Linked DNA regions of Callithrix jacchus. The protein of the gene in region 1 purifies or fractionates together with the protein of each later gene. This does not show direct contact. Links are inferred from orthologs where the notes say so. Each region holds a gene or a part of one and is shown in the gene's direction. Other genes may lie near its edges.

What was found.
Region 2: the proteins of SBF2 (region 1) and MTMR1 purify together in Homo sapiens (affinity purification with mass spectrometry; 3 studies listed by BioGRID and IntAct, with this or other methods). This does not show direct contact. The link is inferred for Callithrix jacchus from reciprocal best matches to the Homo sapiens genes SBF2 and MTMR1.

What each region holds. Positions count from the first base shown.
Region 1 is NC_133511.1:75,669,918-75,673,417, reverse strand, and holds part of SBF2 (myotubularin-related protein 13), read left to right. Parts: intron 1-486; coding exon 487-614; intron 615-2,090; coding exon 2,091-2,324; intron 2,325-3,402; coding exon 3,403-3,500. UniProt on the Homo sapiens protein: Guanine nucleotide exchange factor (GEF) which activates RAB21 and possibly RAB28. Promotes the exchange of GDP to GTP, converting inactive GDP-bound Rab proteins into their active GTP-bound form.
Region 2 is NC_133524.1:147,043,119-147,047,210, forward strand, and holds the start of MTMR1 (phosphatidylinositol-3-phosphate phosphatase MTMR1), read left to right. Parts: upstream 1-1,292; 5' UTR 1,293-1,425; coding exon 1,426-1,592; intron 1,593-4,092. UniProt on the Homo sapiens protein: Lipid phosphatase that specifically dephosphorylates the D-3 position of phosphatidylinositol 3-phosphate, generating phosphatidylinositol. Could also dephosphorylate phosphatidylinositol 3,5-bisphosphate to produce phosphatidylinositol 5-phosphate.

The sequences.
Region 1 (3,500 bases):
AGTGTCAGTGACCATGATCTGTGGTATATATAAACTGCTAAACAAGAGAACACTCTAAATGGCTTCCTGATAAATGGCCAACAACTTAAAACAGAAACATAAAATTATGTTTTTTACTGAGTTTCATCAAATCAACTCTGAAGTCCTTCCATTTTCTCTTGACAGCTGTAGAATGCCTCCTGCATGGACTCCTTTGAATCTAGATAGAGATGCAGGATGAGGGTTGGAAGAGTCATGATGGACTGCTCGCTGCTGAGGCAAACTTTATCAGATGCTTCCTCCATCTGGATTTGTTTCCCTATATAGCTATGAAATTCATTACGTCTTTAGCTTTGCAGTTATTTTCTAAGGTTTTCACACAAATGTTGCTATTTTTAGAGCCATGAAAACAATTTCCAATTTTTTATCTGCTACATGCATCATACTTGTTTAGGCAAAGTGTTAATTTATTTAATTTTGTTTTGTTGGATTTTTTTTAATTTACAGGAACTTTATTTGATGATAAAGGAGAAAAGCATGCCAAAAAAGGAATCTGTATTTGGGAGTGCATTGACAGGATGCACAAGAGGAGTCCCATTTTCTTTAATTATTTATATTCACCACTGGAAATAGAGGTAGAGTAAGAAATCATTTATGTTTCATTTTCTGAAATTTTGTGTTGAGTTTTTCTTAGCTTAGTATATATAAGCTGTTTAATACCTTTCTTAGCTTAGTATATATAAGCTGTTTAATACCTTTGAAAAAGCTATTTCAAAGTTTGAGACACTATACGTTTGGGTTGTGATAATGCCACAAAAATGAGGAACTGGCCCCCAAAACCTAGAAGGGAAAACTTCTAGAGAATCAAAGCAAGGCAACTTTCCCCAGGAAGAAAGAACTAACAAAATTTGGCTGAGCGTGGTGACTCACACCTGTAATCCCAGCACTTTGGGAGGCTGAGGCAGGTAGATCACAAGGTCAGGAGCTCAAGATTAGCCTGGCTAATGTGGTGAAACCCTGTCTCTACTAAAAATATAAAAATTAGTTGGGTGTGGTGGCAAATGCTTGTAATCCCAGCTACTAGGGAGGCTGAGGTCAGAGAATTGCTTGAACCCAGGAGGTGGAGGTTGCAGTAAGCCAGTATCATGCCATTGCACTCCAGCCTGGGCGACAAGAGTGAAAACTCCACCTCAAAAAAAAAAAAAAAAAAAAAAAGGAACTAACAAAATTTGAAATATCAACAGGTGTTCTAAGCTGAAAAACCTTAAAATACCTTAGAAAAAGTTTGTTTAAGTCCATCAGTACCAAAGCCGCCGTGGAAGGACCCCTGTAGGAAGCAGAAATGTTTGGAGCCGAGCCCAAGAAGGATAACATATCTCCCCACCATGCACATCTACATAACACATGCTCCGGAATGGAACAGACTGGTCCGATAAGCAGTTCCACCATTACTTAGGGCCAAGAGAGTCCCCTCTCCCAGGCCCCAATCATAGAACCCTAGTCTGGCCTTCTTCTAGCTGCATCCTCATGAAGTGAGGAGTACAAGAAACCAATGGTACATGCCTAGATGCCCCTCTTTCATCTAAACCATGTTCTGGGTACTTCAGAATTTTTGCCCAAATTCAGGCTGCCCACCAGACTACTTCTCCAAGTCGGTCTACTAAGTCAGTGCATGGACCTCAAGGCCCAAAGAATGGTAAAAAGTGGCAGGTTTGATAGTGGACAGAGTTTGACTTTATGGGCTGGGGTATACATAAACATTCATGTAAGACTCTTAGAATATAAGTTACGGGTGGGAGAAGAAGAGTTAGGCCAAGGACTGGGACCTGGGGCCAGCTAACCTAGTGCCACCACTTGCTAATATAAAGTTCTAAGGAATCCAAGAATCCTCTATTGAACTTGACCTTCTGGGTCATTAGGAAGTTATATTTCCTAATGGATTGAAAATTGTTTTAATAATTTATTTTGATGTATGACTTTTAAATAGTTAGACATATGGATTTGAACCTCCATTCACACTCTTCCTCCCCTGGACTCTACAGATGTTAGGGGCTCGCCTGACAGTGAGCTTTGGGTTCAAGATGAAACTGTATTTCTGTTTTCTTTAACAGGCCCTGAAGCCCAGTGTAAATGTCTCCAGCCTTAAGAAGTGGGATTACTACATAGAAGAGACCCTGTCCACAGGCCCTTCCTATGACTGGATGATGCTAACCCCCAAGCACTTCCCCTCCGAAGACACTGACCTGGCTGGAGAAGCTGGGCCCCGGAGCCAGAGGAGAACAGTGTGGCCATGCTACGATAATGTGAGCTGTACTCAGCCCGATGCTTTCACCAGCCTTTTCAGTGTAAGTCAACTGTAGATACACACCTAGGGGCACCATGGGCACCAGAGGCATAAGGCCAAAGAAACCAGGCTAAGCTAAGAATGGTTTATAAACTTCAGAACATGGCTTTCCTTACTTTGGGCTAAGGTTATGGTAGCACCCTCCCGGTATGAAGAAAACAGATTTGCTCCCCGTCATTGTGGGGGACCAGGCTTCACTACTGGAAAAGAGTCTCAATAAAAGTGATTTTCCAGCATTACAAGGAAGCAATCAAGCAAATGGAGCAATTTACTCTTTCCGGCAGCTTCCCAGCTGTTTTAGTTGCCCGAAGAGCCTTAGTCAGGCCTTGGCTGTGGCTTTTGTGGGTGCTTTACTTCCTCTAGTCAAAAGTGTGGGTAGTTTCAGTGGCCTGATGGGAGTGCTACCAACCATCTTCTGCAAGGAGTGTTCCAGAACAAACCCATCTTGGCAGTAGCCAGCCTGAGGAGTAGCTTTGAGCCTTGATAGGGGCCAGACAGTTCCTGAAGAGTCTTTCCCCTCTGGTTTCCTGACCAGGAAGAGTATACTTCAGTGTCATACTGTCACAGAGGCAGCTGCTCTGATCTCCAGCATCCCTGTCAGAAGGGATATCTGTTTCCTTGGGCATTTCTTGGTTCATTCTTTCCACATCTGGTTTGAATCATCAGAGTTGAGGGGTTCCTCCTGTCAAGGACAGACTTCTCATCTACCTCAGCTTTTAGGGCTGGGCCACAGGCCCAGTGCTTGACCTCTTGCTTTGGCTATCAGATTTCCCATGGGCTGCCCAACAGTGCAGATGTCTGAGATATATATTTCACATCCTAGTATGTAAGCTATCCTGTACCAAAAGGCCTAGTTGTAGGTCCTAATAAACTATCTTTGCCACAGTGTGGCATACCAGCTAGAGCTGTCACCACTATTCCTGGCTGGGAGACCTCTGAGGCCCAGGTCCACCACTTTCCTCAACTGCCCTCTGACCATGCTGCTCATCTGGGCCTAGTACAGAAGCAGTGTGGCTTTGGGGCACATCCTGATTTCCATGAGATACTGATCTATCAAAAAACTTTTAATTTCTTGGCAGGAAATTGAAAAACTGGAACACAAATTAAATCAAGTCCCTGAGAAGTGGCAGCAGCTGTGGGAAAGGGTAACCGTGGACCTTAAAGAAGAACCAAGAAC
Region 2 (4,092 bases), on another chromosome or scaffold:
GATGGCCTTTCCTAAGTGTGTGCATGTCAGTGCATGAGATCACAGGTGACCCCTCCTATAAAGCACCAGTTCCGTCAGACTAGAGCTTGGCCCTCATGACCTGATTGTCTCTCAATACCATCTCCAAATACCATCACATAGGGAGTTAGGGCTTCAACATATGGACTTCAGGGGGATGAAAACATTCAGTCTGTAACAGTGGGTTAACCATTTTATTTAATAATTGAAAGCCAGCAGCCTGCAGAAGATGATTCTCCAGTGTAAGATGGGAGTTATTATTGTCTGGGGATCTTCATTTCCTTCTTCCCAGCCCTCTACACCTTGTTATCGTCTTACCCCAGGCTCACCTCCTCTTGGGTATAAGATGGCTGTAGGGGCTTCGGCCATCATATCCTCAAAGTTAAGTTTGACGTCATTAAGCTGGTAGGGCAAGATGAGTTTGGGATGGGCATGAGGAACTCTCTGTCTGCAGGTCTGCCTTTTAAGAGGGGGCGAATTGTTCCCTTTATAGCTCCTTTGCCAGGTCTGGGTCACAGGACTCCCGTCTACACCCAGAGCAATCACAGGCAAAGGGGCTTAATCATGAGCCACACATCCACTCCCAGCTTAATCAGGAGTGACGTGAGAGAGGATGATTCGCACCCAAACAAAATGAGCAAGAAAATAAATCTAGCCCAGAAAGTAAATGTCCTAAATGCCTCAGCAAGATAATTGGCTTGGTTTTCATAGCAGTGATTTTTAATCAACAGTAGTTAAATGTTACTCTTAACATAAACCATGGGCGGAAGTTCCGAGGGCGGCATCAGAACACTTGGTTGCTCTACAGATGGCAAGGAGGTGGGTTTGTAGGGGGGTGTGGAAGGGGAGAGTGGAGGGAAGAATGGGGTGGGGAGGAATTGCTAAAATGCCCGGAATTGCTCGTGCTTCAAGAGGGAGCCTGAGCTGTCCTATACCTTTTCTGGGAAGGACAACTGAGGGGGGAAATAATTTTTAAACCTTGAATGTCTCCAAACTTCTTATTACACCCCACGTCTCTGCCGTCAACCGGGTTTAACTACAGAGCGAAGCACGCTATGCATAATCCGTTTGGGGATTCTGAACCCCAGTGGCTCGGAACGCGCCCAGGTCGCCAGAGCAAGAGGTCCTAGCCCCCCATCCCCAGGCTACGCGGGCGAGTGCCCAGGTGGGGGTTCCCGGCGCTGGCCCCCAGCGTCGCCCTCCCCGCCCCCGCTCCCGCTCCCGCCCCCGACCCCCGCGCGCGGGGCCTTGTGGGTAACGCGGGGCCGCCAGGTGACAGCTAATGGCGGCGGCCGCCTGAAGCGGGCGGGCGGTAGAGCGGGCGGCAGGAGGCGCGCGGCGGAACCTTCCCGGACGCCGCTCCTGTCCCGACGGCGGCTTCCCTACGGCGGCGGGACTCGGCGCGCCATGGACAGGCCGGCGGCGGCCGCGGCAGTGGCGGCGGCAGTGGCAGCAGCGGGCTGCGAGGGCGGCGGGGGCCCCAACCCCGGGCCGGCGGGCGGTAGGAGGCCTCCTCGGGCCGCGGGGGGCGCCACCGCTGGTTCCCGGCAGCCCAGCGTGGAGACCCTGGACAGGTAAGCGGAGCCCAGGCCGACCCGGCCTCTCGCGCCCCGACTGCCGAGGGCCCCGCGCGAGGCCCGCCCTCTCCCTCCCCGCGCGCCGCGTAGGGCCTGGCCGAGGCGGGGTGGACGAACCCTCTTCATCCCCTCCGGCCCCTCCCTCCCCGGAAACCCCTGCACCCCATTGGGGGCTGCCGCCCTCGGACCTGCTGCGGCCGCGCACCAGGCTTACTTCCGCCGCCCTAGTCCCAGCTCCTGGAACCCTGGGAGGGGCTTCGCGGCTATCAAACCACTTCCCGCGCCGCCACCTGCTACCCTTGGTGACCCCTTGGCTGTCCCTGCCCGGTCCACCGACCCTCGTGGGAGGGAGATCCCACCGGGGCTCTCCTCTTTTAGCGTCACCTTGACTCGTGTGGTTTTAAGACCCCAATTCTACTGTGGCTGCTTAAAGTCTTTGATGCTGGGGTTGGGAGTGGGGACAGGGAGATGGGACCCGCGGGCGTGGGAGCTGTTGCAGATCGAGGCAAAAATCTGGGATGGAAAACTTCCAAACTGCTCAGGAGGGAAGAAAACAGAACCTTTTACTTTCAGTTCTTCACATTTTGAAGGAACCAGTTTATTGTTTTCATGAACACACAAGCAAGCCTACTGCTTTTGAGGCAGCTGCAGAACTAAGAGAAATCAGAAGTATAAAGTGACCATGCCTGACTGGGAGGGGCACCCTTCCTCCGATGACAAGGGGTGGCCTATCCCGTAACCCGGAACATCCAGTGTCGCACATCTTGGCCATTTCTCTGACAGCAGAGTGCACTCAGGTAGCATGGCTGTTGTAATGTAGCTCTGTCAGTTTCAGATGCCCATTCCTGCCTGTCTTAGTCATACCATTGTGCCAAACTTTTGGGAGTTTCCAAAAGCACAGAAACAAGAAACATTCCCTTCACTTTAGTTTCTACCTCAATATAATTATATTTTAACAAATTAATCACCCAAGTGGTTAGTATCACTGAAAACCAGTCACAGCTAAGAGCACTTGAAATGGTGAGGACTTCACTCATCTGCAAATATTCAACGATGTACGAGTTCTGGGTGATTCACAGAATAGTACAACGTGGCTTTTGCTGGGCTTACCACGTAGTGGAGAATACAAACCAACCAATAGTAGAAATCGAATGAGATGTGTGATAGAGGCAAACGTGGAAGTACTCAGGGTGAGTGTGCATCAAAATCTTTTAAGGAGCCAAAGGAGACCAGAATGTGTCACCCCCAAATATTCCTCATCTTCTGGTTTCCTTCAGAGATTTTGGTGATCAGGAAAAGCCCCAGAAAGGTGACATTTGATTAATGTCCCCAAAGAGGCGAGGGATCCAGCCATACAGATACCTGGGGGTGATAACATTCTAGTCAGAGGCTTGTGCAAAGCCCCTGAGGTGAGTGTGAACCAAGTATTCCTAGATCAGCAAGGAGACTAAGTGTCACTAGCAGGGAGGGAGCCAGGGAGAGACAAGTAAGGGATGATGTTAGAGAAGTCACAGAGCCAGATGGTGGAGCGCCTCAGAGGCCATGAGGAGCCACAGGGGACCTTGTGCAGGGGAGTGACATAATCTGTTGTAGATTTCAGCAGGCTCTCCATGGTGCTATGTGGACAATATAGTGTCAGGGGAAGGAGTGGAAGCAGAGACTGGCAGTAGGAGGCTATTGGAGTAAGCCAAGTGAAATGGTGGCTCAGCCCGGAGAAGAGCGGAGGAGGGGAGGAGTGGTCAGATTCTAGATGTAATTTGAAGACCTGCAGGGTAGAGCCTATGGGGTTTGCTGAAGATTGGTTGTTTGGTAAGAGAGAAGAATCTGGGAGAATTCCAGGGTTTTAGCTTGTGGGAAAATTGTGTTGCTGAGATAGAGAAGTCTTTCTAAGGTGGAGCAGGGTTAGGAAATAGCAGGCTCTTTGCTCTGGACATATCAATTATGAGATGCCAATTATATGTCCCAGAATAGATGTCAAAGATATAGTTGGTTGGCCGGGTGCGGTGGCTCACGCCTGTAATCCCAGCACTTTGGGAGGCTGAGGTACGTGGATCATGAAGTCAAGAGATTGAGACCATCCTGGCCAACATGGTGAAACCCCGTTTCTACTAAAAATACAAAAATTAGCTGGGCATGGTGGCATGCACCTGTAGTCCCAGCTACTCAGGAGGCTGAGGCAGGAGAATTGCCTGAACCCAGGAGGTGGAGGTTGCAGTGAGCCGAGATCGCATCACTGCACTCCATCCTGGCGACAGAGTGAGACTCTGTCTCAAACAAACAAACAAAAAAGATATAGTTGCTGTGTCTGAGCCTGGAGTTCAGGGTTGTCTGAGCCTGGAGTTCAGGGTTGTTTGGGCTGGAGATTCAGACTGGGGAGTCATGGGCTTATAGATGAGGCTTAAATTCATGAGGCAGGTGGAGTACACAGAAGAATGAAAGGAGTCTGGAAAAGGGAATAGGACTAGGAATAGGGATGGGTGGATTTTCAAGATACTTA